4 linked regions of the Oryctolagus cuniculus genome follow. The protein of the gene in region 1 interacts with the protein of each later gene in a biochemical or structural test. Links are inferred from orthologs where the notes say so. Each region holds a gene or a part of one and is shown in the gene's direction. Other genes may lie near its edges. The genes, in order: INPP5D, CD244, SHC1 and GRB2.

Evidence for each region.
Region 2: the proteins of INPP5D (region 1) and CD244 interact in a biophysical measurement, tested with the Homo sapiens proteins (2 studies listed by IntAct). The link is inferred for Oryctolagus cuniculus from reciprocal best matches to the Homo sapiens genes INPP5D and CD244.
Region 3: the proteins of INPP5D (region 1) and SHC1 form a complex in vitro, tested with the Homo sapiens proteins (2 studies listed by BioGRID and IntAct, with this or other methods). The link is inferred for Oryctolagus cuniculus from reciprocal best matches to the Homo sapiens genes INPP5D and SHC1.
Region 4: the proteins of INPP5D (region 1) and GRB2 interact in a test that uses a peptide from one of them, tested with the Homo sapiens proteins (2 studies listed by BioGRID). The link is inferred for Oryctolagus cuniculus from reciprocal best matches to the Homo sapiens genes INPP5D and GRB2.

Annotation. Positions count from the first base shown.
Region 1 is NC_091434.1:6,371,097-6,378,640, reverse strand, and holds part of INPP5D (phosphatidylinositol 3,4,5-trisphosphate 5-phosphatase 1), read left to right. Parts: intron 1-2,841; coding exon 2,842-3,038; intron 3,039-3,406; coding exon 3,407-3,524; intron 3,525-6,766; coding exon 6,767-6,863; intron 6,864-7,544. UniProt on the Homo sapiens protein: Phosphatidylinositol (PtdIns) phosphatase that specifically hydrolyzes the 5-phosphate of phosphatidylinositol-3,4,5-trisphosphate (PtdIns(3,4,5)P3) to produce PtdIns(3,4)P2, thereby negatively regulating the PI3K (phosphoinositide 3-kinase) pathways.
Region 2 is NC_091438.1:38,066,078-38,074,102, forward strand, and holds the start of CD244 (natural killer cell receptor 2B4), read left to right. Parts: upstream 1-3,617; 5' UTR 3,618-3,824; coding exon 3,825-3,903; intron 3,904-6,213; exon of another isoform or gene 6,214-6,946; intron 6,947-8,025. UniProt on the Homo sapiens protein: Heterophilic receptor of the signaling lymphocytic activation molecule (SLAM) family; its ligand is CD48.
Region 3 is NC_091438.1:43,543,550-43,549,895, forward strand, and holds the end of SHC1 (SHC-transforming protein 1), read left to right. Parts: intron 1-632; coding exon 633-831; intron 832-907; coding exon 908-977; intron 978-1,081; coding exon 1,082-1,216; intron 1,217-1,379; coding exon 1,380-1,618; intron 1,619-2,304; coding exon 2,305-2,433; 3' UTR 2,434-3,943; downstream 3,944-6,346. Other genes in the region: PBXIP1 (pre-B-cell leukemia transcription factor-interacting protein 1), read left to right, coding at 4,637-4,739, 5,159-5,208, 5,794-5,898. UniProt on the Homo sapiens protein: Signaling adapter that couples activated growth factor receptors to signaling pathways. Participates in a signaling cascade initiated by activated KIT and KITLG/SCF.
Region 4 is NC_091448.1:5,146,173-5,150,399, forward strand, and holds the start of GRB2 (growth factor receptor-bound protein 2), read left to right. Parts: upstream 1-1,427; 5' UTR 1,428-1,598; intron 1,599-4,227. UniProt on the Homo sapiens protein: Non-enzymatic adapter protein that plays a pivotal role in precisely regulated signaling cascades from cell surface receptors to cellular responses, including signaling transduction and gene expression.

The DNA of each region.
Region 1 (7,544 bases):
CACCAGCTTCAGAATGGTAGGTGAGTTCAGGGGCAGGAAGGGAGAGGGAGGGTGCGGGAGAAGGACCAGGAGGAGAAGTGTGCCAGGGAGGAGTACAAAAGAGTAGCATTTTATTTCTCTAAAAATCAGGAGCAAATGTGGCAAAATATGTGAAATATGTATATCTGAAATATTTTGTAATTAGGAAGAACTTTAATGGGCACATAGGGTATACCAAATAATAACTAATTCCTCACACTACAAAAATGTATCAACTGATTACATATTATTTAGGCCACACAAAGGTATGTACATACATTAGAGCATTGATAAATAAGATTCAAAAATAAATTTTAAAATGCACAATTAAAAAAATAATAAGGTCACACATCATTGTGAAGATGTGGTCATTCATTTAAATAGAGTGGTTTAATCAGATTTAACCCGAATTGCAAGATGAGCCTTGAGAAGGCTTCAAAAGCAAATAGATCTCAACAAACAAAAACAAAGCCCCTTTTATGATTTGGTCCTTGCTAAGTAACCAAAACCCAGTAGAGACACTAGAAAGCACAAGAAGCTGCGATAACGGAACACAGTCATCTTTGCTCCCCAGGCCAGGGCCTGTACATCTTCATTAAAAACTAATCACTATTTAAAAACGTCAATTAAACATAGAGAATTAAATTCTGCTTTATATTCGTGTATCATTGCTTGATTTTGAGAAACCTATAAACTAGGCTTTTCTTTTTTTTTTTTTAAGAGTTTATTTATTTGAGAGAGTTGTGGAGGGAGGGAGAGAGCGGATAGCTTCCGCCTCCCCGAGACGCTGTCTGCGACAGTCACGCCACAGCCTCGCTTGTCTTCATCTCCTGTCTGAGTGATGCAGTCACTCTAGCTCGGAACAAAAACCTAGCACTGAAGTCTGTCTCGACAGCCCCGGCGTGCTGTGCCCTCACGGGCAGCTCTTAGCCTTGGCTGAGACACCCCCAGAGAGCCTGGGGTCACACCCGCCTCTGGCTCCTAACCCGCACTTCCGCCAATGCGGACCCTGGGGAGCCAGGGTGAGGGCTCGGGTCCCCGAGTCCCTGCCAGTCCTGTGGGACTTGGGTCGAGTCTCATCCTCTCCCAGCTGGCGCAGACGTCTGGGCAGGGAATCACAGCTGAGGACTCCCCCGCCCTCTCTCTCACTGTCTCTCAGATACATAGATAAAAAACTGTAAAATCTATAGCCTCATAATTTTTCACAGGGAGAGGGAGAGAGGGAGAGAGGGAGAGGGAGAGATGGAGAGAGGGAGAAGGGGAGAGAGAGGAGACTCCCTAAAGAATAAAATGTATTTGGGAATACCAGAGCATTGCAATAGAAATTCTGAAATAAATATTCCTTTGAAAATCTCGGGACCGGCACTGTTGCATAGCAGGTAAAGCCACCGCCTGTGATGCCGGCATCCCATATGGGCACCCGTTAGAGTCCTGGCTGATCCACTTCCAATCCAGTTCCCTGATAAAGCTCTTGGGAAAACAGTGGAAGACAGCCCAAGTCCTTGTCCCTGCACCCACGTGGGAGACCTGGAAGAAGCTCCTGGCTCCTGGCTTCAGCCTGGCCCAACCTGGTTGTTGCAGCCTTTTGGGGAGTGAACCAGTGGATGGAAGATCTCTTTCCTTCTCTCTCTCCCTCTCTGTAATTCTACCTTTCAAATAAATAAATAAAATTTAAAAACAAAACAACAACAAAAGAGCACAATTATCACATGATCTAGCAATTCTACTACTTGGAATATATCTAAAATAATTGAAAAGAAAAGAAAACCTCACTGAGTGCTGTTCATTGTGTTATTTTAGGTGGACAACATGGGACATACTTTGTCTAAAAACTCCCCATTGTCCCAAGCAGAGTCAGGCGCTTCCCGACCCTGACATAGCTGGTGGAGAGAATGGGAGGAGGCGGCCTGGGACTTGGGCTCAGCGTCCTGTGCAGGCTCCTGGTCCTGGATGCACAAGGCGCCAGCCTCCCTCAGCCCGGCCACGTCCAGGGTGGCCCAGGGCCTGCAACAGCACTGAAACAGAGCCCTGGCCAGTGCCCATGTCCCCTTCTGTCCTTTCCCGCATCTCTTATTGGCCCCTGATTTCCTCAGCTCTCTCGCTTGTGGGTGCTTGCACACAGGTGCACGTGTTTCCCATGTTTCCACTGTGAGCCGTGAGTTCTTTTGACATAGTCAGGGCCATCCCGTTGCACAACAGCAGGGGGCGCCCCACCCGCAGAAGGCGTGAGGGAGGAGCTGCGACATGTGGGCGGGGCCTCAAGGAGCTCAGACTCCCACTGTGGGTTCACTGGGGAGTAGAACTCAGCCATGGTCAAGGCAACTGCACTTCCTGGCTTCTTAGCACCTGCGAGCCAAGCTGATCTCTTTGGAGAGAGGTCAGGGCCCTTGCAAGGAGGGGTGGACCTCCCTTCATCCCTGGCCTGAGCCGCTCTTGCCCATTCTTCTAAACAGGAATGGAGAGGGATTTGCACGCTCTTCCCTTCTCCCTGGCTGGCGCCTACACATCCTCCGCCCTCCGTGGGGAGCCCTTCTTTTGCCAGCAAGGAAGCCGCTGCTCTCTCCATCCTGAGCTTCTCGGCTCACCTGCCTCCTTCCCAATAGAGTGTGTGTCCGCTGAGGGACAGGAGGGAGCCTCCATTGCTCTGTGGTCCCTAAGCGTAGGACAGTGTCTGCTTAGTGGGAGTCACCTCCCGGGGGCTGCGGGCACTGAGCTCTCCCTGTCACTGCGCTTGCTTGAGGGGTTTGTGCTTTGCCTGCTGTCTGTTGTGGATGCCCCTGGATGTGCCTCTGACTCACTTGGTGTCGGGTTTTGCTGTTGAAGGTAACGCACCCCCTCCCAAGAAGATCACGTCCTGGTTTCTCTCCAAGGGGCAGGGAAAGACGCGGGACGACACCGCCGACTACATCCCCCACGACATCTACGTGATCGGCACCCAGGAGGACCCCCTGGGGGAGAAGGAGTGGCTGGAGATACTCAGGCACTCCCTGCAAGAAATCACCAGCATGACCTTTAAAACAGTGAGCAGCTGCCCCCAGCCTGCGGGCCGGGCCGGGCCGGGCCGGGCCGGGGGGCTCCGGGGGAGGGCTCTCGGAGGCCAGGGCAGCCTCAGGCTGTCAGCTCTCCACTTCTAAAGGTGTCTGGCAGCCCAGTGGTCCCCCCACTTCTGGGTCCAGAGAGATCACTGTATTCAGAACTCAATGGGGCTCGTAGGCCATTCCTGCAAACTCCACCTCCCCACCGCCTGGCTTGCAGGGGACTCGGACCCCAGTCCCCGTCGTTAGGATGCTCTGCCTCCGTGCTGGCATCGAGGGGCTGGGCTGGGGCTGTGCTCTGGGTTCAGACACCACACCCTGGCCGTCCAGTGCAGCACTGTGCACCCCACCAGGTCGCCATCCACACCCTCTGGAACATCCGCATCGTGGTGCTGGCCAAGCCGGAGCATGAGAACCGCATCAGCCACATCTGCACGGACAACGTGAAGACGGGCATCGCAAACACGCTGGGTAAGCGCAGAGGGGCCCAGCTCGGGGTCTACTTCATCCCGGCAGCTGGGATAACGCTCGGGGCGACGCAGGGCGTCTCTGAAGGTCCTCGGCACACTCAGGGTCTGCACCAGTGCTCTGGGGATCTGGCTGAAATGCGGGTTCTGACTCAGCAGGTCTCGGGTGGAGCTCCCAGGAGGCACTGGGGCTACAAGCAGGTGCAGGGCGCCACGCTGAGGAGCAAGAACCTAGAAGAGGGGTGCAGGGACGTCTGCCAGAAAGGGCCCCTAAGTAACTATCCAGGGCCTCGTGGGCCACGTGCAGCTGGCGGGAAGCATCAGCGGCACAGAAAGTGAGGGTGGGGCTGTGTCCCAGGGGCACGTGAGTCTCAGACGCAGGCTGCAGGCCCCAGGCCCCAGGCCTCTTCAGGTTGCAGCGGGAAGCACTGGTGTCAGAGTCAGGGTCAAGGTCGAGGGAGCAGTGAGCTTCAGAGAACTGAGAGAGGAGCGGCAGGGAGACTGCAGGAGTGTGCGCACCTGTATGTGAGTGTGTGTGCAAGTGTGGGAGTGTGTCTACACGCATGTGCTTGTGTAAATGTGTGGGTGGGGATGAGTGAGCAAGCCTGTTTGGAGGAGTGCACGTTAATGTGAGTCTGTAGGTCAGTATGTGAGTGTGTGCGTAGGTGTGTCCAAGTGTGTGTGTGTGTGCACATGTGTTTGTGGTTGTGTGTCCATGTGTGAATGTGCCACCCTGGGTCTATGAATCTGTGTATCAGTCTATCATGTGAGTGTGTGTGCGTCGTTATGTGAGTTTATATGAATCTGTGTATACGAGCCTTTGCATATGAGTTTCCGAGTACACACGTGTGGGCATGTGCACGAGTGTCCAAGTGTGCCTGTGAGTGTCTGAGAGCACTCTGGGCGTGTGTGCAGGGGGGAATGAGTGTGCAAGTGTGTGCCCAAGCACATGGGTGAGGGTCCAAGTGTGCAGATGATGTGGATGTGATGTGAGCGCATGCAAGTGTGTGTCTGGCGTGTCTCCTGTGTGCATGAGTGTGTATGTGTAGGGGTGTGCATGGATGTATCTGAGCGCACACATGCGTGTGAGCGTCTGAGTGCATGTGGGTGTGGGTGCACTGTCACGGGGCCACAGGTGAAGCTGAGGGCGGGGACTTCGGTTTCCGGCGGTTGGAGTCTGGGACAGGACGGTCCTGAGATAACAGGAAATAGAAGGATCGCTGCTGTCAGATGTGAAAAGTGACAAACCGCGAACTGCCCACATCCACGCCCACCGTCCTCCTCCCTTCCTGCCGGCTGCACAGGGCCTGCATGGCCACTCTGGCCTGAGCCTTGCCCTCCCTGCCCAGGAGCCTCCCTTGTCCCGACTCCATCCCCCCGGGTTTCCTGCCTCCCCCACCAGCCTGCTGTACAATTTGCTAAAACCTCGCAGAGCTCGTTACCAACACTGCACAGATGCCCAGGAATCCCCACGCAGCCGGGTGCCAGGCTCCAGGCTGGGTACAGGGTAGTCCCCAAGCAGTAGGCATCCCGCTCACATGAACTCAACAGACAGCGAGTGAGCCAGCAGGTGCAAAGATGGCTCTGAGAGTGAGCTGGCAGAGAAGGGCGTGGTGGAGGGGAGAGGGGCACCAGGGAAGGCGAGGGACAGGGCTGAGTCTCGGAGACGCGGAGGTCACAGCCTCCTGCCTCCTCTCTCCCTCTCTTCTCCCCGAGGGCCTGTCTTCCTCCTCCACTCTCCCAGAGGCTCCCAGGGAGCTCAGTGAGTGAACGCTGGCTGGTCGGCTGGCAGGACGTCGGCCCCACACAGCTAAGGCCCTTGCGGGGTACCCGACACACACGGCGGCCGGGGTGATCTGATTTCATGCAGCCCTGCGGTGGAGGGCACAGGCTGTTCTCCCCACTCACAGATGAAGAAATTGAGGCCATGGAGGGATCTGTACCTGGCCTGGGCAGGGGTTCAAACCCACATTGTCAGGACCCCTGAGCTAGAAGGGGGAAATCTCTGGAGGGCGCCGGGGCCAGGGCCCAAGGCAGGAAGCCGGGTGCTCGTCCTAGTTCTGTGTCTGAGCCACATCACCTGACATCTGCCCAGGCTACTGATCCCCACTCTGGGTCCTGAGGAGGCGGGGCTGGGCGACCTCCAAGGTCCCTCAGGTTCCCGTCTATCCAGAGCTGTCCAGTGGACATCCGATGGGCAGAGCCAGAGCCCCATAGTAAGTAAACGGAAAGCAGTGAGATTCATTTCAGCGATAGATTCCATCAGAACTCACACATCCCAGATGTTGTTTCTGTGGGTATGCGGTAGGACAAAATATGAGACATCTTAGTCTGTTTTCTTACCGGGGCTTCTGGTACCAGCTTCAGACTAGCCCCGTGTCCCACGCTCGGTGGCCGCACAAGGCTGTGCCTGCCGTACTGGGCACTCTCCGGCACGGGTCGCTATCACCCAGCAGGGTTGGCAAGTTTTGTCGGTGAAGGGCCAGAGGGTGACTATTTGAGGTTGTGCAGGCCAGGTGGTCTCTGATGCAAACACTCAACTCCCATTCTCTGTGGCCTGAAAAGCAGCCAGGGCAATGTTTGGATAAGCAGGGGTGTCTGTGTCCCAATAAATATGACACGGGAACCCCAAAACTTGAATCTCATATTTTATTTTAAGATTTATTTATTTATTTGAAAGAGCGTTACACAGAAAGAGAAGGAGAGGCAGAGAGAGAGAGAGAAGTCTCCCATCTGCTGGTTCACTCCCCAGTTGGCTGCAATGGCCAGAGCTGCGCTGATTTGAAGCCAAGAACTTCCTCCAGGTTCCCATGGGGGTGCAGGGGCCCAAGAACTTGGGCCATCTTCCAGTGCTTTCCCAGCCATGGTAGAGAGCTGGATTGGAAGTGGAGCAGCGGGACTTGAACCAGCGCCCCATGGGATGCCGGCACTGCAGGCAGCGGCTTCACCTGCTACGCCACAGTGCCGGCCCCAAATCTCATATTTTAATGTGAAGCAAAGAATTCTTCTTTGATTGATTTTTTTCCCAGTAAGCGTGGCTGCTCCTGCTGCCTTCCAGCCCCCAGCACATCCCTCTTAGAAGAAGCCAGCACTGCTCGGATCGCACGCCCCTTCCTTAGTCCGATGGTGCAGGGGCTCTCTTGTCAGTGGACCCCAACAGTGGTACACACGTACGGGGTGCGCGCGACGTTGCCACTCGCGTGCACCCCCTGTGATGCTGTGGGTCTTGCCTTTCCCTCCCTCTAGGGAATAAAGGAGCCGTGGGGGTGTCATTCATGTTCAACGGGACTTCCCTGGGGTTCGTCAACAGCCACTTGACTTCCGGAAGTGAGAAGAAGCTCAGGTAACGGAGCCCATCCCCTCCCCCCACACACACACACAGAGCCTGTATTTGGGTGATTTGCCAGGACAGACCCCACAGCCCTCAATGCTGAAACCACCCGCTCCTCCCTCTGCAGGTACTGTTGGTTTTTGCGTCCCCGCTGTGGTCTCAGTAAAGGGATCCGCGGCACAGCAGGGCCTCCTGTGTGTCACCTCCTGCGTGTCACCCGCAACCTAGACGCCACCCCCTTCTAAAGGGCAAGAGCTCTCCTGAAATATCAGTGTGGATCAAAGTCCCTTCTGCCTACGGGGGCCGGGCCACAATTGTGTGAAGACAGCCACCCAGAACACTCCCAGCAGGCAGATCCCACGGCTCCTGGCCCTGCCCTCGGCCTCCCCAGTTTGGACTCAGACCCTTTGTAGCCCAGCCCTGACCCACCTGCCTGCTGCAGGAGTCATGGGCATGCTGTGGGGTCAGCTGTAGGGGCAGGGGTCAGAGGTGCACTGTGGGGTCAGCTGTAGGGGCAGGGGTCACAGGTGCACTGTGGGGTCAGCTGTACGGGCAGGGGTCACAGGTGCACTGTGGGGTCAGCCGTGTGGGCAGGGGTCACAGGTGCACTGTGGGGTCAGCTGTAGGGGCAGGGCTAAAGGTCAAAGTCTGACCTCCCCCAGCCCCCTGCCTTCCTGACAGATGGGTGAGGAA
Region 2 (8,025 bases), on another chromosome or scaffold:
TTTTTTTTTTTTTTTTTTAGCTCAATGGACTTTATTTTTTTTTATTTTTTTTTTAATCTTTTATTTAATGAATATAAATTTCCAAAGTACGACTCATGGGTTACAATGGCTTCCCCCCCCATACCGTCCCTCCCACCCACAACCCTCCCCTTTCCCACTCCCTCTCCCCTTCCATTCACATCAAGATTCATTTTCGATTATCTTAATATACAGAAGATCAGCTTAGTATACCTTAAGTAAGTATTTCAACAGTTTGCTCCCACACAAAAACATAAAGTGAAAAATAATAGATGATTTTTTTTAAATGATGATGAAATCAGATCAGACCTATTGTCATGTTTAATCCCAGTGAGAGTCAAGTTGGGAATTGATAATTTCTTTCTTTCTTTTTTTTTTTTTTTTTTTTTACAGAAGATCAGTTTAGTGTACATTAAGTAAAGATTTCAGTCGTTTGCACCCCCATAGAAACACAAAGTGAAATATACTGTTTGAGTACTCGTTATAGCATTAAGCCTCAGTGTACAGCACGTTAAGGACAGAGATCCTACATGAGGAGTAAGTGCACAGTGACTCCTAAAACAGGCTTATTCTCTTCTGGGGAATGAAAACCCAAGAGTGAGTAGTTTTTTAGCCCTTTTGAGAAAGAGAAACAGAAAAAGAATTGTTTTTACCTGCTTTCATTCAAAGAAGTACACTGACAATACTCAGATGATTAGAAAGACAATAATTTTTCATTTGCATCTAGTATTAGAATTCTTAAAAGATTGCTTAACATACTTGTCAAACCAATCAGGCCCTTTTTGAAGGATTCATCTTTGACTACTTTTATAGTTTCTTCTTTTCAGGTGTACAGTAAAAGGGTTAATTTTGCCTGTAGAGAAATCTGGCCTTGGCCCTTGGCTCCTGGGAAGTAATCCATAAGCTTTGGAGTATGTTGCCTCATTAGAAAGTCTTCATTTACCAGGGACATTGAGCCATTCCAGAGAGTCTATGGTAACAATCTGAATTATAGTAGGAGATTTGGTTTGTATAGCATCAGAAGGAACCAGAGACTAAGGTCAGCCGTGGGGTGGTTAGCCAAATGCCAGTCAAAATTCTGGACACCAAAGCTTGGGAGAGCTTCCCTAGTTGTCAATACTCCATGTATATTGTTATATACCTTTTCTGGGAGGAGTAAGAGCTGTCTGTATAACTCTGTTGGAATAGGATAACTGGAATTTTGTGCATGATCCTTTTGTTTGGAAATCCCCTGGATCCTGCCATGTCTACCTCTTCCCTTGATTATTTTTTTTAAATATTTACTTATTTATTTGAAAGTCAGAATTACACACAGAGAGAAGGAGAGGCAGAGAGGAGTGCAGGGACCTTGGTGACTCAGGGAAATGCAAATGCCGTTTCTAGGGAACTCACTCATTCTTTCAGCACTCAACAATATATTAAGCAACTGTGAAGGAACAGGCCCGGAACCAGGCTCTGGGAACCCCAAACTAAGGGGAGCACGACTTTATGTTGTAGAGCTCACGATTAGGCAGAGCAGTGTGGGAACAAAGGGCAGTTATTAAGTGGTAGAGTTTGTTAAAGACCACAAGGCAGAGACACAAAAGTGGTACACCTGCTCCCAGCTTAGGATTGTGAAGCAGATTCTTAATTTGTGCTATTTGGATAGTCTCTTCCATCTGCCAGGTGAGGAAGTTTACCCTTTCTTTTTGTATCATACTTTGAGCACAACCTCCCAAGGTCAAGAGCATTGTCAGAGAAACTCTGAGGATATTCCCTGGGGATGAGGGCTTCCCTTTCGGAGAAGACAAATGATAGAAGAGATGATAACCATTAGACCAGCTTCAAAAAGCTAAATAAACAAAACCTTATCTATATCGGATACCTTACTCCATTGGATAGCTCTAACAAAATGGGCAGCTCATGAACTACATAAACTCACTTCTCACAGTTCTGTAGGCTGGGAAGTCTGAGGTCAGAGTGCCAGGGCAGTCAAGGTCTGATGAGAGTTCTTTGCTGGGTTGCAAAGTGTTTAATTCCAGCTGTGTCTTCACACAGTGGAAGAGATGAGCAAGCTCTCTGGGACTTTTCTGAAATAAAGACAATCATTCTACCCATGAAGGCTCTGCTGTCATGAACTAGTAACTTCTCTGAAGACCTCACTTCCTAATAATTGTGACTCAATGTCAACTTGAGTTTTATAGTGACAGAGTTTTATACACATGGGCTCAGGAATAATTGCTCATTTGATCCTGAAACCTACCTCTTGAAGAAGGGAAGTCAACTATTGATGATCCTGCAGAGCAGAAAGTTACCTTGGCCAGCATTACACAGCTGAACAGCAGCTCGAGCCCAGGTCTTTGACTCCAAATCCAAAGCTCTGTCCAGAGCCCCACTGCCAAGGCCTACAGCCTCTCACCTCTGTGCTGCTTCCAACAGGCTCATTGTAAATGAATAAAAGAATGGGAAAAGAGAAGAATGGTGGACTTGAAGAGAACTGAAATAGTTGCTGCTAAGAGGAAAGTGAAAGAAATAGGCACGAACCCTAGGGTATGAAGGCAGTAACCCTGCGCTTGAAGCAAAAGGGAGTGGGATGTCACTGCCCCTGCCCCTCATGGAGACCTCAGGGGTCCAGAGCTGCCTGACCTTTCAGGAGGGTGGACTCCACGTGTGCAGAGGGACGGGAGCAGAAATGACAGCACATGCTTTCTGGGTGAAGTCCAGAAAGGGAAGAGAGAACTACCGCCAGGAAGGTACAAAAAAGCATAGCATATGGAAGTATGAAGGACCTCATACTTGTGCAAAAATTCATAAATCATGAATAATCTTTCATTGTGTGCATTTTTCCATGAATTTTGAAGATACCCCCCCCCCCAGTACAGATAGAAAGCTTGGAGCAAAAGTAAATTCTTATAAAAAACATGAACTTGAATGTACTAAAACTTGGGTGTTCAACTTGCACAGAATCCCAGGCCTGTTAGATTTTTCTAATACCCCCAGTTCTGGGGCTCGTGTTGTGGTATAGTACCACATATGAGCGCCAGTTCAAGTCCCAGCTGCTCCAATCCAACTCTCTTATACGGCCTGGGAAAGCAGTAGAAAATGATCCAAGTCCTTGCCCCCCTGCATCTGCGTGGGAGACCGGGAAGAAACTCCTGGCTCCTGGCCTTGGAGTAGCCCAGATCCGGCTGTTGTTGCAGTCATCTGGGGGAGTGAACCAGTCACAGATGGAAGATCTCTCTCTCTCTCTCTCTCTCTCTCTCTCTCTCTGCCTCTGCCTCTCTGTAACTCTGACTTTCAAATAAATAAATAAATCTTAAAAAAATATTCCTAGTTCTTTGTTCTCTTCCTATGTCCTACACAGGGTTCTGGCTCTCAGTCAAACCCTCCCAACCCTTCTCCCCAGTGTGGGAAAATGGCTGTGTGCTCCTCATGTTGTCTCTCTATATTGCTAGTAGGATGGAGAGAATTGGAAAATGTCTTAGGCATCTGCCCTTTGAAGGAAGCAGCTAGGCTCCAGCGCAGGAGGGATCAGATTCTGAAGCTGGTTTTGTGGGTCAGAGTGAGCCCCAAGGACCCGCCCACTTGATGCAAACTTTGCATCAGCTATGGGAACTGTCAGACCAGGTCCAGGGACTGGGGCTTTCTCAGAGACCTTGCCAGCTTGCAGCAAATGTTAGCAGCTTCAAATTGAGGAAACTGTGGCTGGACAGGCAGTGACACGCTTTGCTACCACAGCCTTGCTACTGCCTGGTGACTGTTGAGCCTGTGTACAGCAGGGTGTCTGGCAGGGGAGAGGAGCTACCTGACTCCTCTATCCTTTGAGAATGTTGGGGCCACCCGACCCCTCTGTCCTCACCCTCACCCTGACCTTCCTCCTGCTCTTCAAACAGCACCAGGGCCAAGGTAAGAGCCCCAGCCTGGTGTGGGGGAGGGGGCTGGCATGGACCACGGGTTCCACAGCTCAGTGAGATCAGAACCCAGAGCCTCCCATCAGACCACCTGTAGGGTCACCTGGAGCTGGGATGCTGTCAGCTCCTGTGGGTTCTGACAGTGGATCGGGGAACTGAGAATGGCCTGTGCCCTTGCCATTAGCAATCCAGGCAGTCTTGGCTGAAGCAATCGCTTTTCACTGTCTTCAATCTCCCCTTCTGAGAAGTGGGGAGGAGACCTCCTCCCAGTTGCTGTAAGAACAACAAAGGAAATCTCACCCTCTAATTGTGGGATGAGAGTGGCAAAGCAGCCCCAAGGAAGCTGGAAGGTTCTGGAGCCCAGAGACAGGCAGGTAGACCACTGGGCAGGAAGGCTGAGTGGGAAGAGGGCAGGGGTGCTGGGGCAAAGCCACTGGCCAGGATAGGGGTTATACCCAAATGCCCAGTGCTTTGGCTCCTCAGCTCTTCCTGTAACCCAGGGGTTGTAGGAGCCCGAGAATTATTAGGGAAATGTTGGCTTGGAGTGGAAGTAGGAGAGCACAGTATTAGAAAGCTACACAGCAAAACTAAGGCTGTCAATAGGGCATGCAGTCTTCCAGGGCATCCTCAGGGGATCCAGTCCAAGGATGCTCCCATATTTTTCCAACTCTGGAGTCCAAGGTATTCTGAAGTTTTGATCTTATGTTTCAGGTGAGCGGCTCAGGTACAAGGGCAGGGCTGGGTGGGTACAGAGGGGGAAAGTGAGACGGAGGATGGTGTTTGTCCAGAAACTTGTGCATTAAAGTCCCAGCCCCAGGTCCCGGTTCATCATGAGCCCCTGAGGACTCACATCCTCCAGGAAGACATAGTCTAAGCTTGTGTGGATTCAGCATTTGTGAGGAATACAGACAGCTTTGGGAATAGCATGGTGAAGAACCATGAGCAGGGAGGGATGCTTGGAGCCCCAGGGCTCCGTGGGTGGGCAAGTGGGACTCAACAGCCCTGGTTGGGATTTGGTCTAAGGAGCTTAAAAAGCACCTCAGTCAGTTGAGAGAGGACTGATGAGTTTGGGGGTTCAGGGGCAAGAGTGACAGAAGGGACGAGGCTGTGTGATAGGGGCATGGCATGTCCTTCTTCCCCACCATGTCCAGGGGTACAACACCGTCTCTGCATGGTGGTGGCAGATCTGTAGCACAGTGCAACCGTAAGTGATTCCTGGAGTGAGGGAACAGGGCACATGTCGTCAGCTCTCCTCTCCTCCTTCCATATTCCGTGTCTGTGGAGCTGGCCTAATGTGAGCACCTGGAGTTGCTCTGCTTGCTTTCATTTGTAAACTTCATAGTTGGACTGGATTGCAAAGTTCCTGAGAAGCTGAAAGAATAGTGCAAAGGAACCTTGTGTTTCCTTCGCTTATGTTTATTCAACAATTACCATTTAAAATTCTCTTTTTCTTCAGAACCTTTTTCATAAACGTGGCCGGCCTGAACTGACACAAGTTAAAATAGTCTTGAAAGTCCTGTCTTATTACAACACAATAGGACAACACCGGAAGTGGGGGCAGGGTTTCGTCTCAGTTCTTTTCAGAGACTGGGTCACTTATCTATACACAGGTGGCTCACTGACCTGATGCATTAAAAACCAACTGGACAAATACATGAGAGAAGCCACTGTAGGTATTAAGCTTGTAGGAAGGTTGCTATTCAACAAATGGCAGCTTGATGGGTGGAGCTTCCCATCTACATCCTGCTAGGGCTTTAGGAGATGGTGAAAATGTCAGAGACTGCAGGATCAGACTATTTTCATGGTGTGTTTCTGTGGGTACATATATCCTTAAAATTAATAAACAATTTTCAGACTATAAAAACAATCTGACTGGCAAGGCACCACTACTAGACATACAGTGGCCATGAAACCTGCACACATGGCACTCACACAGCTTGCTTGTTCCTTAGCCATAAAGGAGCACTTGCTTTTTGGGGGGGTGATCATTGTGTTATCTTGAGACATGGGACCATTCCTTTTCTCTGGACTTTGCTAGGTGAGGTAGCAGTTGATTTGCGCCCCTGAATCTGGATGTGACAGCCTTGAGACCATCTGGCTGTGTCCTGGGGATATGGGAGGTGGCTGTTCTCTTAACGTCTTTATAAGGTCATCTATAGGGCTCTTTCAGGACTACATCCTGTTGGTTTTCACAAGCTTTTTGGACCTGGACTCCCAAGCAGCCAGCAGACCTTCGGGGGTGGGGGGAGGGTTGCCTCTCAGAGCAGTCACCCAGGGTAGCGACGAGGGGGCACAGGGACAGAAATCAGCTGAAATGCTCCACGCTGGCTTCGCCTTGCTCCATCTCATGCAGGAAGCTGTAGAACATGCAGGAGGAGAATTTAATCCTACATACAAACTTTCAATATGATTTTCTTTCTTAACCACCAACTTTGTCAAAAAATACTTCCCACTTTCTCCAATTCGCTGTTCCCAGATGTCACGCCAAACTTCCACTCCGTAGCTGTAAGTTGGTCATAGCGAGAGTCTTGACCTGTGGCGCATGGAGCAAGGGCGGACTTACGCTGCTTCCACTTTTCAGAAAAGAAAGCGGCTTTCGCCTAAGACCCCGGTGTGCAAATCTGCCCAGACCAGCTTTGCTGTGAGACTCTTCAAGCCACCATGGGGACAGAGGAGGTGGCTTTTCTCGAAGCTTCGGAGTGGGCCCAGGCTGATCTGATTGGAGGTGGCAAGTTTAGAGGGCAGAGCAGGAAACTTTCCCGCCTCTTTAGGCTCGCGAGGAAGTGGAAAAGCACTTCTGGCAGCTCTGAGTGCTGCTGCGCGCCGAGCTCCTTCTGGGGAGGCACTTTGCTGGCCATGGGCACTGGGTCATGGGTGCGGTGCAAGCATTGCACGGCTCTCACCAGCCCGCCCGCGCCCTGGAGCTGCCCGCGTGCCTCTCTCAGCTTCCCTGCCCCACCGCAGCCGCTGTCTCCCTGCGCTTTTGCAGCCGCACTTTGACCAGGGTGGGTACCCCTGCGCTCCTCCCATTTAAGCATTAAAATTTTTTTTTAATTTTAATTTTATTTGAAAAGGGAAGACGTAATGGAAGAAGAGAGGGAGAGGGAAAGGGAAAGGGAGAGGGAGAGAGAGAGAGAGAGAGAGAGAGAGAGAGAATATTTTCTATTCACTGGTTCATTAAACAAATGCCCACGATAGCTTGGGCTGTTCCAGGTGGAAGCCAGGAGCCTGAACTCAAATGTCCCTGATAGGTGGCATACTTGGGCCATCACCGGCTGCCTCCCGGAATGCACATTAGCAGGAGGCTGGACTGAAAACAGAGGCAGGATTTGAAACCACAGCCTCCTATGTGAGCATCCCAAGTGGCATCACAACCATTGTGCAAAATGCCCACTCCACCTGTTAGTGACAGTTTGTCACATTTGCAGTAATTTTTCCCTCTATAAACGTTCATATAAACATACATTTATTTTTCTCCCCATACATGTGTGTATAAATGTATAATAATAATAATTTTTGCTGAACCATTTTAGAAGTTGCAGGTACCATGGCTTCCTTACTTCTAAATATCTTAGCCCGTGTGTCCTACAAGCCAGGACTCTCTCTCATAACTGCAGTACAATTGCCAAAGTTATAAGTCTAACACTGATACTATCAAACATGCAGTCACTGGTGACCAGCTTTCCCCGTAATGTACGTTCTGGTATCTTTTCCCCTGACCCAGGTCCTAATCAGGCTCATGTATGGCATTTGGTTGCTATACCCGCTCTGTCATAGTCCATCTGTTTTTTTTTTTTTTTTTTTTTTTTTTGACAGGCAGAGTGGACAGTGAGAGAGAGAGAGAGACAGAGAGAAAGGTCTTCCTTTTGCCGTTGGTTCACCCTCCAATGGCCGGCGCGGCCGGCGTGCTGCGGCTGGCGCACCGCACTGCTGATGGCAGGAGCCAGGTACTTATCCTGGTCTCCCATGGGGTGCAGGGCCCAAATACTTGGGCCATCCTGGCCTGGAAGAGGGGCAACTGGGACAGAATCCGGTGCCCTGACTGGGACTAGAACCCGGTGTGCCGGCGCCGCAAGGCAGAGGATTAGCCTAGTGAGCCGCACGCCGGCCCCATAGT
Region 3 (6,346 bases), on another chromosome or scaffold:
TCTTCCTCTCGCTTGCCTGTGGTGGGGCTGTATTTCAGGGCCTCCAAACTGCATTTCTTTCTCTGGCTGAATGAGCTTTTCTCTTCCCAGCCGCCACCTCATTACTAGCCTCGCCCTCTTTCTTGCCTATTTCTCTTTCATTTTCTGTGTTTTCCTATTTCTAGAAGCCACCAGGCTCGTGGATCTTGGAGGAAGGCTGTTTGTCCTGAGACCCCTTCCTTTCCCACTGTAGGCTTTAAGGAATGAGCAGTGGGCCAGTAGGGATGGTGTATTTGGAAGTTCAAGTCCTCCGGCACATGCCCTCCCCACTATTTCGTGCTTCCCCTTCCTCTCAGGAAATAGCCTGGTGGTCAAGGGCATGAGCTGTAAAGTCAAAGCTGAGTTTAAATCTTGCCTATAGCACCTTTTAGTTGGGAGATCTTGGATAAATCTTTTCACCTCTCACCTTAATTTTCCTCCTCTATAAAACTAGGGAGGGAAACCAGGAGGGTGAAATGACTGTACCTGGGAAACACCCAGCCTCAGGCCTGCGGACTGAAGGCTCGCTGTGTGTGTGATGTGCTGTGGGGTTCCCCTCGCCCTGCCCGGCTCTCCTGCGTACTCACACTCCTGTGCCTTCCTGTCCCTCCCAGAATGGCCGGCTTTGATGGATCAGCTTGGGATGAGGAGGAGGAAGAGCTACCCGACCATCAGTACTATAATGACTTCCCGGGGAAGGAACCCCCTTTGGGGGGCGTGGTGGACATGAGGCTCCGGGAAGGAGCTGCCCCAGGGACTGTTCGACCTGCTCCACCCAGTGCGCAGACCCCCAGCCACTTGGGAGCTACCCTGGTAAGTTGCTAGGATGGAGGTGGGCTGGGCCCAGGCTGGTTAGGACTGCTGGTCTCACCTTCCTTTATCCCTGCAGCCCGTAGGGCAGCCTGTGGGAGGAGACCCGGAAGTCCGCAAACAGATGCCACCTCAACCACCTTGCCCGGGTATGAAGGGAGGCAGAGAGAGAGGGAGCGAGTGAGCTGAGGAGGGAAGAGCCGGGGGTGCAGCAGGCAGGGCCAGGAGCACCACGGAGCATCCTTTTCCGCAGCAGGCAGAGAGCTCTTTGATGATCCCTCCTACGTCAACGTCCAAAACCTAGACAAGGCCCGGCAGGCAGGGGGAGGGGCTGGGCCCCCCAACGCGACCGCCAATGGCAGCGCACCCCGGGACCTCTTTGACATGAGTGAGTACTCCTCTCTCCTTTCTGCTTCGTCCCCGCCTTCCCACCTGGTTCCGTCTCTTCTGCCTTTCTGCTCTTTCATTCCTGGCCTCCCTTCCCTGAAGGTCTCCGTCCCGGGAGTGTGTTGTGCCAGCTGCTGCTCCTTGCTCTCTCTGTAACCCCCCAGAGCCCTTTGAAGATGCGCTTCGGGTACCTGCACCTCCCCAGTCGGTGTCCATGGCTGAGCAGCTCCAAAGGGAGCCCTGGTTCCATGGGAAGCTGAGCCGGCGGGAGGCTGAGGCGCTGCTGCAGCTCAACGGGGACTTCCTGGTGCGGGAGAGCACGACCACACCTGGCCAGTACGTGCTCACCGGCCTGCAGAGCGGGCAGCCCAAGCACCTGCTCCTGGTGGACCCCGAGGGTGTGGTGAGTGACAGAGGTGTGGACGTGGGTGGTCGGAAGTACCCTCTGGTGCAGTCGCAGCTGTCGGCCCCGCCCTCCAGCGCCCTCAGCGCTGTGCCTGAGCTGTGTTCATTACAGCCCTGGCCGGTACTCCAATCCCCAAACCTTAAGCCCCTCAGAGCCAGACGGTGCTCGTCTATTCTGTGTCCCTCCTTTGACAGATGAGGAAACCCCCGGGGAGAGGTTGTGATAGCCAGTGGTGAGGAGCCACACACGTGCAGGAGGAGCCGGGGGCCTCCCCAGGTCCCCAGACCAGTGTCCTTTCTCTTAACACTCAGTGTCTCACTGCTCCTCAAAACTTCCATTTCTCTTCTGTACAATTTCAGCCTCCTTCCCACTTTTTTTTTTTTTTTTTTTTTTTTGCACAGTGAGATACGCCAACCCTGTCCAAATCAAGAAAGGCTTCATGCTTTCTGGACTGAGGTCCCCTTGCCTTTCTGTAGTTCCTTCACCTGCCCACTCTCACAGCTGTCTCCAGCTTCTCTTTCCAGGGAAGCCTCAACCAGCCATCACCCCCCACCCCCAGCCCCACCCCCGTCTTTTTCTCTTTGCTCAGCCTTCTCGACTGTTTCATTTTCTTCAAGACTTAAGGGCCGCCGAGGTCTTGGCTCCTCACCTGAATTGACCCCCCTTCCTTCTCACTTTCCCAGGTTCGGACAAAGGATCACCGCTTTGAGAGTGTCAGCCACCTCATCAGCTACCACATGGACAATCACTTGCCCATCATCTCTGCGGGCAGCGAACTGTGTCTCCAGCAACCTGTGGAGCGGAAACTGTGATCCGTCCCCGCGTCCCCGAGCTCTCACAGAAGACGCCCCTGCCTCCCCTTCCACCCTGTTCCCTGCTCTCAGGACTTCACTCAACGAGTGTTCTGTGGGCTTGGCCTTGGGTCAGAGCTGGGAGGAGGGTGGACACTGGGTTTTGCATTCAGCTGAGGGAGAGGGTTTGAGTCAGGAGCCTGGGGTAGAATCCTGCTTCTCCCCAAACCTCACCAAAGTATTAATGTACAGAGTGGCCCCCCCATACCTGTGCCAACCTGATGCCCCCTTCCCCAGGAAGGTGGGCACTCGAGATGGAAACGTCCCCTGGTGATAGGCCCAGTGGAGCAGTCACCCTTCTGGGGAAAGGGGAACAAATCACACCTCGGGTCTACCCCTGGGCTTCAGGGAGTCACAGACCACTCTCAGCCTTCCCCCCAGCGTTTAACTTTGTGCCTTTGACCATCTCCTAGGTCTGACGATATTTAATGCAAAGAAGTTTTCGGGCCCCTGAGTTAAGGACAGGGGTGCTGACGCCGTCTTGGCTCCCAGGACCCTGTCCTCCTTGCTCAGCAGCCTCTCCAGTTTGGGTTGGGAGAACAGAAGCAGTAGTGGCAGCTGTCCCCTCTCCCTGGGGAGGTGCAACCCTTAGAGATTGCCCCAGAGCCCCCCTCCCGGCCAGGGGGGAGATGGACCCCCTCCCTTGCTCAGTGCCTCCTGGCCGGGACCCCTCTCCCCAAGGGGTCTGTATATACATTTCATACGCCCCGCCCCTCCCATGTTGCATGCATGTTATACTCTACAGCCAAAGTGTAGCTCTTCCTCCTGTATCCCGGCTCTGCCTCTCCCTTCCCAGGGTGTGAACTGGAGCCTCCTGTACAGTTCACTCTCCCAGGAGGGTTCTGTGGAGGCGGGAACAAGGGCACTGAGACTCGAAAGCATTAGACAATCCCAAATACCATCTGTCGATTTGGAACCGCGCTCATTTTTACTTTGTATGCACATATTTTATGGCTGTAGGTTTACTTTCCTAATTTTGTTCTCCATGGCTTGTTCTTGAACACAAAATGATGATGATCAACTACATCCACACATCACCTCTTTGACTTTTCCAAGCCCTCTCACCACTATTGGCATTTTCCTCACCGGGCCTGCAAAGGAACTCGGACTGGCAGCATTATTATTATTTTTACAAAAGAGACCAGAGGCAGAAACGGATTTTGAGCCAGGACTAGAACTTGGACCTCTTACCGCAGGCTGGGAGGCAGGCGTTTGGCTGGCTGTGTCGATTTCACGAAGGGGGAACTTAAAGCCCACAGGTCCCCCAGTACCTTCTACACGCGGGGCCCTGTGCTAGGCCCACTGCAGCCACAACCACAGAAGAGGCCAGTCCTGCTCTTTAGGCCTGTGGGGAAGGGAAAGCTGACAATTTTAATCCTAGCCACCACCTCCTTTCGTGTGTTTGGATGTTTTCACGGGTCTCACTTATACCAAAGGGAAATAATCTTCATTAAAATCCGTATTTCTTCTACTTCGCCTTCTTAGCCACTCTTGCAAGCCCATTGTTCGCGCGGAGCCTCCGCGGCAGGAGGGGAGGCTCCAGGTCGCCGCTGGCCCCACCTGGCCTCACTTGGGGCCCGGCGCCGCCCGCTGGGCCCTGGGCGCCGGCCGACTTAGTGCCCGGTGGGCGTGGAGACCGATTGTCCCCGGGGGATGCGGCTGCGGAGGGGCCTGGTGCAGGCGGGGCGGGGCGGGGCAGGGTCCGAGGCCAGCCGGCGGCTGCCGGTGCCTCCTGGGCACGCGCCCCTCGGCCCGCAATGGTACGGTCCGGTCGCAGGGGCTGGCGGGCGGCGTCCCGCGGTGAGCTGGGGCCGGCCGCTCCCTAGAGGGCGACGGCTGTCTCCACTAGGGCCGCCCCGTGGTCCTCTCTCCCCTCTTCCTGCGTTTTGAGGCGCCGAGTCTCCCAGTCCTTGCTTCCCCTCCCCGCCGCGCTCGGTGGTGGCGGCCGAGCGGAGTTCCGGTTCCGGTCGCTGCTGCTGCCGCGGGCGGGCGGCGAGTCTGGAGCGGGCTCGCAGTTCGTGCTCCAGCTCGGCGCCTCCCCCTCGCCGCACCTTGGGGCTGCAGCAGCTCGGGGGCCTGTGCTGCCCCGACTCCCCTTCCGGGGGATGGTGCAGCCTGAGGGCGCCTCCATCCCCCGCCGCCGCTGATCCCCGGCCCCCACTCCATGGCCGCCTCGGCGCCGCCCCCACCGGACAAGCTGGAGGGAGGTGGCGGCCCCGCACCGCCCCCTGCGCCGCCCAGCACCGGGAGGAAGCAGGGCAAGGCCGGTGAGAGTGCTGAGACGGGGCGGGGGCTGGAGAGACCTGGGACTTGGGAACCTTGGAGGGGAGGGTGGGGTTGGTCCCAAAGGCTGAGAGCGGGGAGGGCTTGAAGGGACGCTCAGGTGAAAAGGATGGGTCGGTGTAGCGCTCCGGGGTTGGGGGCAGGTGTGACAGATTGAGGACTTTCAAGGGTGTGGAGCCACGTGGAATCCAGTCAGGTGGAGTCTGATAGTGTCAACAGATAGGGTGTCTGCTTTCGAGAAAGGCATAGCTGACAGTAGGGCCCCACTCAGGACACGTTTTTCATATGACACTCCTTTGTTAGTATTCGCGAAATAAATGTGTGTTGAAGTTGACCGAGTTCTTGGAGCAGGGCTGGGAGGAGGAGGTTGGAGAAACTCGTCTGCCTTTTGCTGCTCTTCCAGGTCTGCAAATGAAGAGCCCAGAAAAGAAACGCAGGAAGTCCAATACTCAGGTGAATGTTGGCTGGTGGTGGGCGTGATTGCCAGGAGCCCCTGGCGCTGTCCGCTCTGTATTGCGTCAGGTGCAGGGAGAAGGAAGGCGGTGGGTTCTGTTTCTGGTCCTCGCCCTCAACTTCCTAACAAACGTAGGGGATAATCCTTCCCCACGAGAGCCCCTTACCCAAGAGCTGGTCGGGCAGGGTTGCAGCCTTCTTTTTCCCCCATTTTTCCTGTCCTGGCTCCTTCAAGACAGCGTAGCAGGTAACCACCTAGCGAACCTTTTCTAAGTGCCAGACGTTGTGCCGAGGGGCCTGAATGGTTTGGGGGAGCTGGGCACTGTCCTTGTATCACGGAGAGCTTTGGGGTCAGAGCTGGGACTTCAGCGTGGTCCTCCCTGTTTTTCAAAGGCGTTCCTGACTGCGCTGTTCTGCCCTGCTCCCTCTGTTTCTATGTTGCATTCTGAGGTCCGTCTTGGTCTTGGCACTGGCTGGCCGGTGTCTGCCTCCAGAACGCTGCGGCGTCTGTGGTGTTCTGCCCACGTGTGTTTGGCTCCGTGTCAGGCCCCTGTGACCCTCTTTCCCTCATCTGTTCCTCCCTAGGGCCCTGCATACTCACATCTGACGGAGTTTGCGCCACCCCCAACTCCCATGGTGGATCACCTGGTTGCATCCAACCCTTTTGAGGATGACTTCGGGGCCCCTAAGGTGGGGGCCACAGCCCCTCCGTTCCTTGGCAGTCCTGTGCCCTTTGGAGGCTTCCGCGTACAGGGGGCCATGGCGGGCCAGGTACCCCCAGGCTACGGCACTGGAGGTGGAGGGGGTCCCCAGCCACTTCGGCGACAGCCTCCCCCTTTCCCTCCCAACCCTATGGGCCCTGCTTTCAACATGCCCCCCCAGGGCCCTGGTTACCCACCACCAGGCAACATGAACTTTCCCAGCCAACCCTTCAGCCAGCCTCTGGGTCAAAACTTCAGCCCTCCTGGTGGGCAGATGATGCCAGGCCCCGTGGGGGGATTTGGCCCCATGATCTCGCCCACCATGGGACAGCCTCCCAGAGGGGAGCTGGGTCCTCCTTCCCTCCCGCAACGCTTTGCCCAGCCAGGGGCGCCTTTTGGCCCTTCTCCGCTCCAGAGACCAGGTCAGGGACTCCCTA
Region 4 (4,227 bases), on another chromosome or scaffold:
GGCTCTTCCGTGCCGTTCTCTGCCGGATTTGCCCCAGCTTTGGCTTCTCCGCCTGCGAACTCCTCCTCGCCCCAGACTCAGCAGAGTCTTGTCTGCAGCGGGCAGAGTAGCAGTTCCTCCCTTATCTTTTTACCGTCCTTGGCCTTTCCCAAATAACTCTACCCGTCCTAGTGTTTGCTTCTCATCTGCCTCCCCTGATGGCCAGGATTTCTATACCCAGCACATTACTCGGTGATAGGAGGGCGCTTCGAAATGTGTGAAAGGATGGAATTAAAAGACAACTAAGGGGCAGGCATTTGGGGCAGTGGTGAAGATTCCTTTTTGAGGGGTCGGCACTGTGGTGTAGCGGGTAAAGCCACCACCTGCTGTGCCGGCATCCCTTATGGGCACTGGTTCAAGTCCCGGCTGCTCCACTTCTGATCCAGCTCTCTGCTGTGGCCTGGAGAAGCAGTGGAGGATGGCCCAAGTCTGTGGGCCCCTGCACCCACGTGGGAGACCTGGAATAAGCCCCTGGTTCCTGGCTTCAGATTGGTACAGCTCTGGCCGTTGTGGTCATCTGGGGAGCGAACCAGCCAGTGGGAGATTTTCTCTCTCTCTCTGCCTGTTACTCTGCCTTTCAAATAAATTTTAAAAATAACCCCTTTGAGACACCCGCATTCCAGATACTTGAATGCTTGGGTTTGAGTTCTGGCTTCACTCCCGATTCCAGAGTTCAGATTCCTGCTAATGTGTACACTGGGAGGCAGCAGGTGCTCGTTCAAGAACTTGGTCCCTGCCACCCACGTGGACTGAATTCCAGGGTCCTGGCTTCTGCCTGGCCCAGCTCCAGTTGTTGCAGGAATGAACCAACAGATGGAGAATCTGCCTCAGTCTATCTGCCTTTCAAATAAATAAAAATAGATACAAATAATTCATTTAAATTGCATATTTTTAAAAATATTTTGGGTGCAAAAAATCTGAATGCGTGTGGACTGTGTTTTCCACAGTACTCATTTCCCATGAATTTTTGAAAGAGGGAAGGAATCCACTAATTTATCTAATACTGCAGTGTGGAGTGGGTTCGCAAAGATTTCAAGGTCTGGTCCTCCATTTGGAGTGCTTCATGCCGGAAGAAGCTCTCCCCTGCTCCGTCATTGCCTTGACTTGGTGGAAGGGGAAGGGACAGTGATCAGAGCTTGTAAAATGTCATTCCTTAGGGCTGAGCTGTCAGCCACCCGCTCTGGCACCGAGAGGGTTACAACGGCGCAGGGGCGGAGCCACGCCGGGGCCACCTGCTGGGGGCCGCCTTGCGCATGCGCCCTGGCCTCCAGAGGGTCTACCTGAGAGACGCCGGGCGCTTGCGCTCTGGGCCTTTTCCGCCGGGGGAAGTCTCGCGGGGGCGGGGCGGGGCGCGGCGGGGCGGGGCGGCGTGGGGAAGTTCTCGCGGGACCGGGACGAGGAGCGGAAGCGAGGCGGCTCTGCTGCTTCGGAGACCGGGCGGCGGCGGCGGCGGCGGCGCGGGAGCGGGCGCTGCGCTCCGGGGGCAGCAGCGAGGTCGGCGGCCGCTCGCGGCGCTGCGGACGGGCGGGCCGGGCGCGGGGCCGGACAGCTGCGCCACGGTGAGTGCGGCCGGCGGCGCTCGGCGCGGGCCCGTGCCTCTTCCTGCCGCTCCTCGGCGGGGGCACCGGGCCCGGCCCGCCGACGGCCCTCGGGGCGCCGGGGCGAGGGAGCGCCCGTCTGCCCGTGTGGGGCGCTTCCTTCCTGGGGACGGTCCTCCTCCGGCCCCGGGACCCGGGCAGAGCCTGGGGCTCTCTGGTGAAATCCGGTGCCTGCCCGCGTCGTGTGCGGCCCCGCGGCGGACGGGCACGCAGGGCGCGGGGTGCGGTGCCGGTGCGGTGCCGGATGCTCCTTCGACCCGCACGGCAACCGCGTCGCCAGCTCCCGGCGTCTGGGGCCGGATTTTGTGCGGGAACCCTGCGTGGGTTGGGGCGTGCGCTGCCGGAGCCCGGCGCTTCGCCCGCCCGCCCGGGGAACAGGTATCTGGTCCGGAGGGAGCCGCGGCGGCGGGTTGGCGTGCTCCGGGCAGGGTCCCGCGGACGGCCGTGCCCGGGCTCGGCTGGTCTGGGACGGGGACCCGCGGGCGCGGGCGCGGCGCCGTTCACTTCCAGGGCGCGCGAAGCCGGCGAGGGGCTCCTTGGCCTTTCTCGGCCCCTGCGACTTGGGCTTGCGTCGGCTACGGCCTCCCCTCTCCCTGGGCTTCTCTGCGCTGCCCGGGCAGTGCGATCGCTGGCCCCTGCCCCCACCCTCATCTACTTCCCCTTCCTCTTCGCTGGCATAATTTTGTGAGGTTTCTGCCCTTTGGGGGGGACGCCGATTCTTCCCCGGGAATGCCCCCCTTCCCTGCTGCTCCGTTCCCGTGCTCTGAGCGCGCCCTGTGGTCCTCCGGCCAGAGCCGTGGGGGCTTCCATTCTCCCCCTGGGAACCGCCAGGCGCATCCGTAAGTAATCGATACTGCCCCTGGGTCAGGCGCGGCTTGCTCGTGTGATTGACGTTTTCGGTTTTTCCGCCTTTAAGGACCACGCTTGCCTCGGCTGTCCTCCCCGTGTTGGGTCACTCGGGGGCTCATAAGCCATCTTTTTGGTGTTTAGCCGGGGTGGTGAGTGTTAACAAGCGAGAATCAACCATAGACCCCTATTAAGATAGAACTAAGGTAGCCTGGGAGGTTTAAGCGGATAGAAATTATGCCGCTGGTGAGTTAAAGCCTGCCCGTTTTCATAGCGCTGATTCTTTATCGGACTTCTTTTTAAGATTGGGGCTCTTTTCTTCATCTGTTGTAATCGGCCTTCATTGTTGTTTTTGCCCAGAAAAGAAATACCTTTATGTGCCCCTAGCTCAAAAGTTTTCTGATCCCAAGATAAAATTTTAAAAAGTTAATTCTCATAATCAATTTTTTTTTTTTTGGAGGGAGGAAGGGGAAGTGGTATACACAAGCTTTTTTTTTTTTTTTTAAGGATTTATTTATTTATTTGAAAGGCAGAGGTAGAGTGAGAGTGAGAGAGAGATGCCGGCGCCGCGGCTCACTAGGCTAATCCTCCGCCTAGCGGCGCCGGCACACCGGGTTCTAGTCCCGGTTGGGGCGCCGGATTCTGTCCCGGTTGCCCCTCTTCCAGGCCAGCCCTCTGCTGTGGCCAGGGAGTGCAGTGGAGGATGGCCCAGGTGCTTGGGCCCTGCACCCCATGGGAGACCAGGAAAAGCACCTGGCTCCTGGCTCCTGCCATCGGATCAGCGCGGTGCGCCGGCCGCAGCGCGCCGGCCGCGGCAGCCATTGGAGGGTGAACCAACGGCAAAGGAAGACCTTTCTCTCTGTCTCTCTCTCTCACTGTCCACTCTGCCTGTCAAAAAAAAAAAAAAAAGTGAGAGAGAGAGAGAGAGAGAGGAGAGAGATCAATCTTCGACCCTCTGGTCACTCCCCAAATGGCTGCAATGACTGGAGCTGGGCTGATCCAGAGCCAGGAGCTTCCTCCAGGTCTCCCATGTGGGTGCAGGGGCCCAAGGACTTGGGCCATCTTCTTCTGCTTTCCCAGGCCATAGCTGAGAGCTGGATCAGAAGTGGAGCAGTCAGGACTCGAACCGGCGCCCACATGGGATGCCGGCACTGCAGGCGGCGGCTTTACCCGCTACCCCACAGCACCCGTCTCAAACACAAGCATTTATGTGCTTGTGTCAGTTTACTTTCCCACGAGTCACTTGGATTTGAGAGAACCGCCGGGTTTCCAACACGACTTGTTTGTGGGACTCCCGGCATTCCCTGAGCGATTCCTGTCGCTGTGTCCCTGTTGTGCAGCTGCAGCCCTGCCTGCTCCGCAGAACCCGAGAGTGGTAGACTGGAGAGCGGAGGTGACACAGGCAGCCGCTGTGGTCATCTGCTTGATTCAGAGGACTCCCCACCGACACAGAGCGGGCACCAAGAGTCTGGTTTTCAACTTTGTCAAGGTTGGCTTTTCCTGGTTGTGCCAAGTGCATGTGTATCGCTTTCATTTTATGCGAAGACCTGTGCATTGTTTGGAACGCATCTTCTGTAAGGGTTAAGGCACCCTTACAGTATAGCAGTGATTCTTACATTTCGTGTGCGTAAGAATCACTGGGGGTTTTTTGAAAACAAGCTGGCAGAGCTCCATGAGGCACCCCATAATGGTAGCCTGGGGGCTCACGCAGTGACATAGTGGGTAAAGCTGCCGCCTGTGGTGC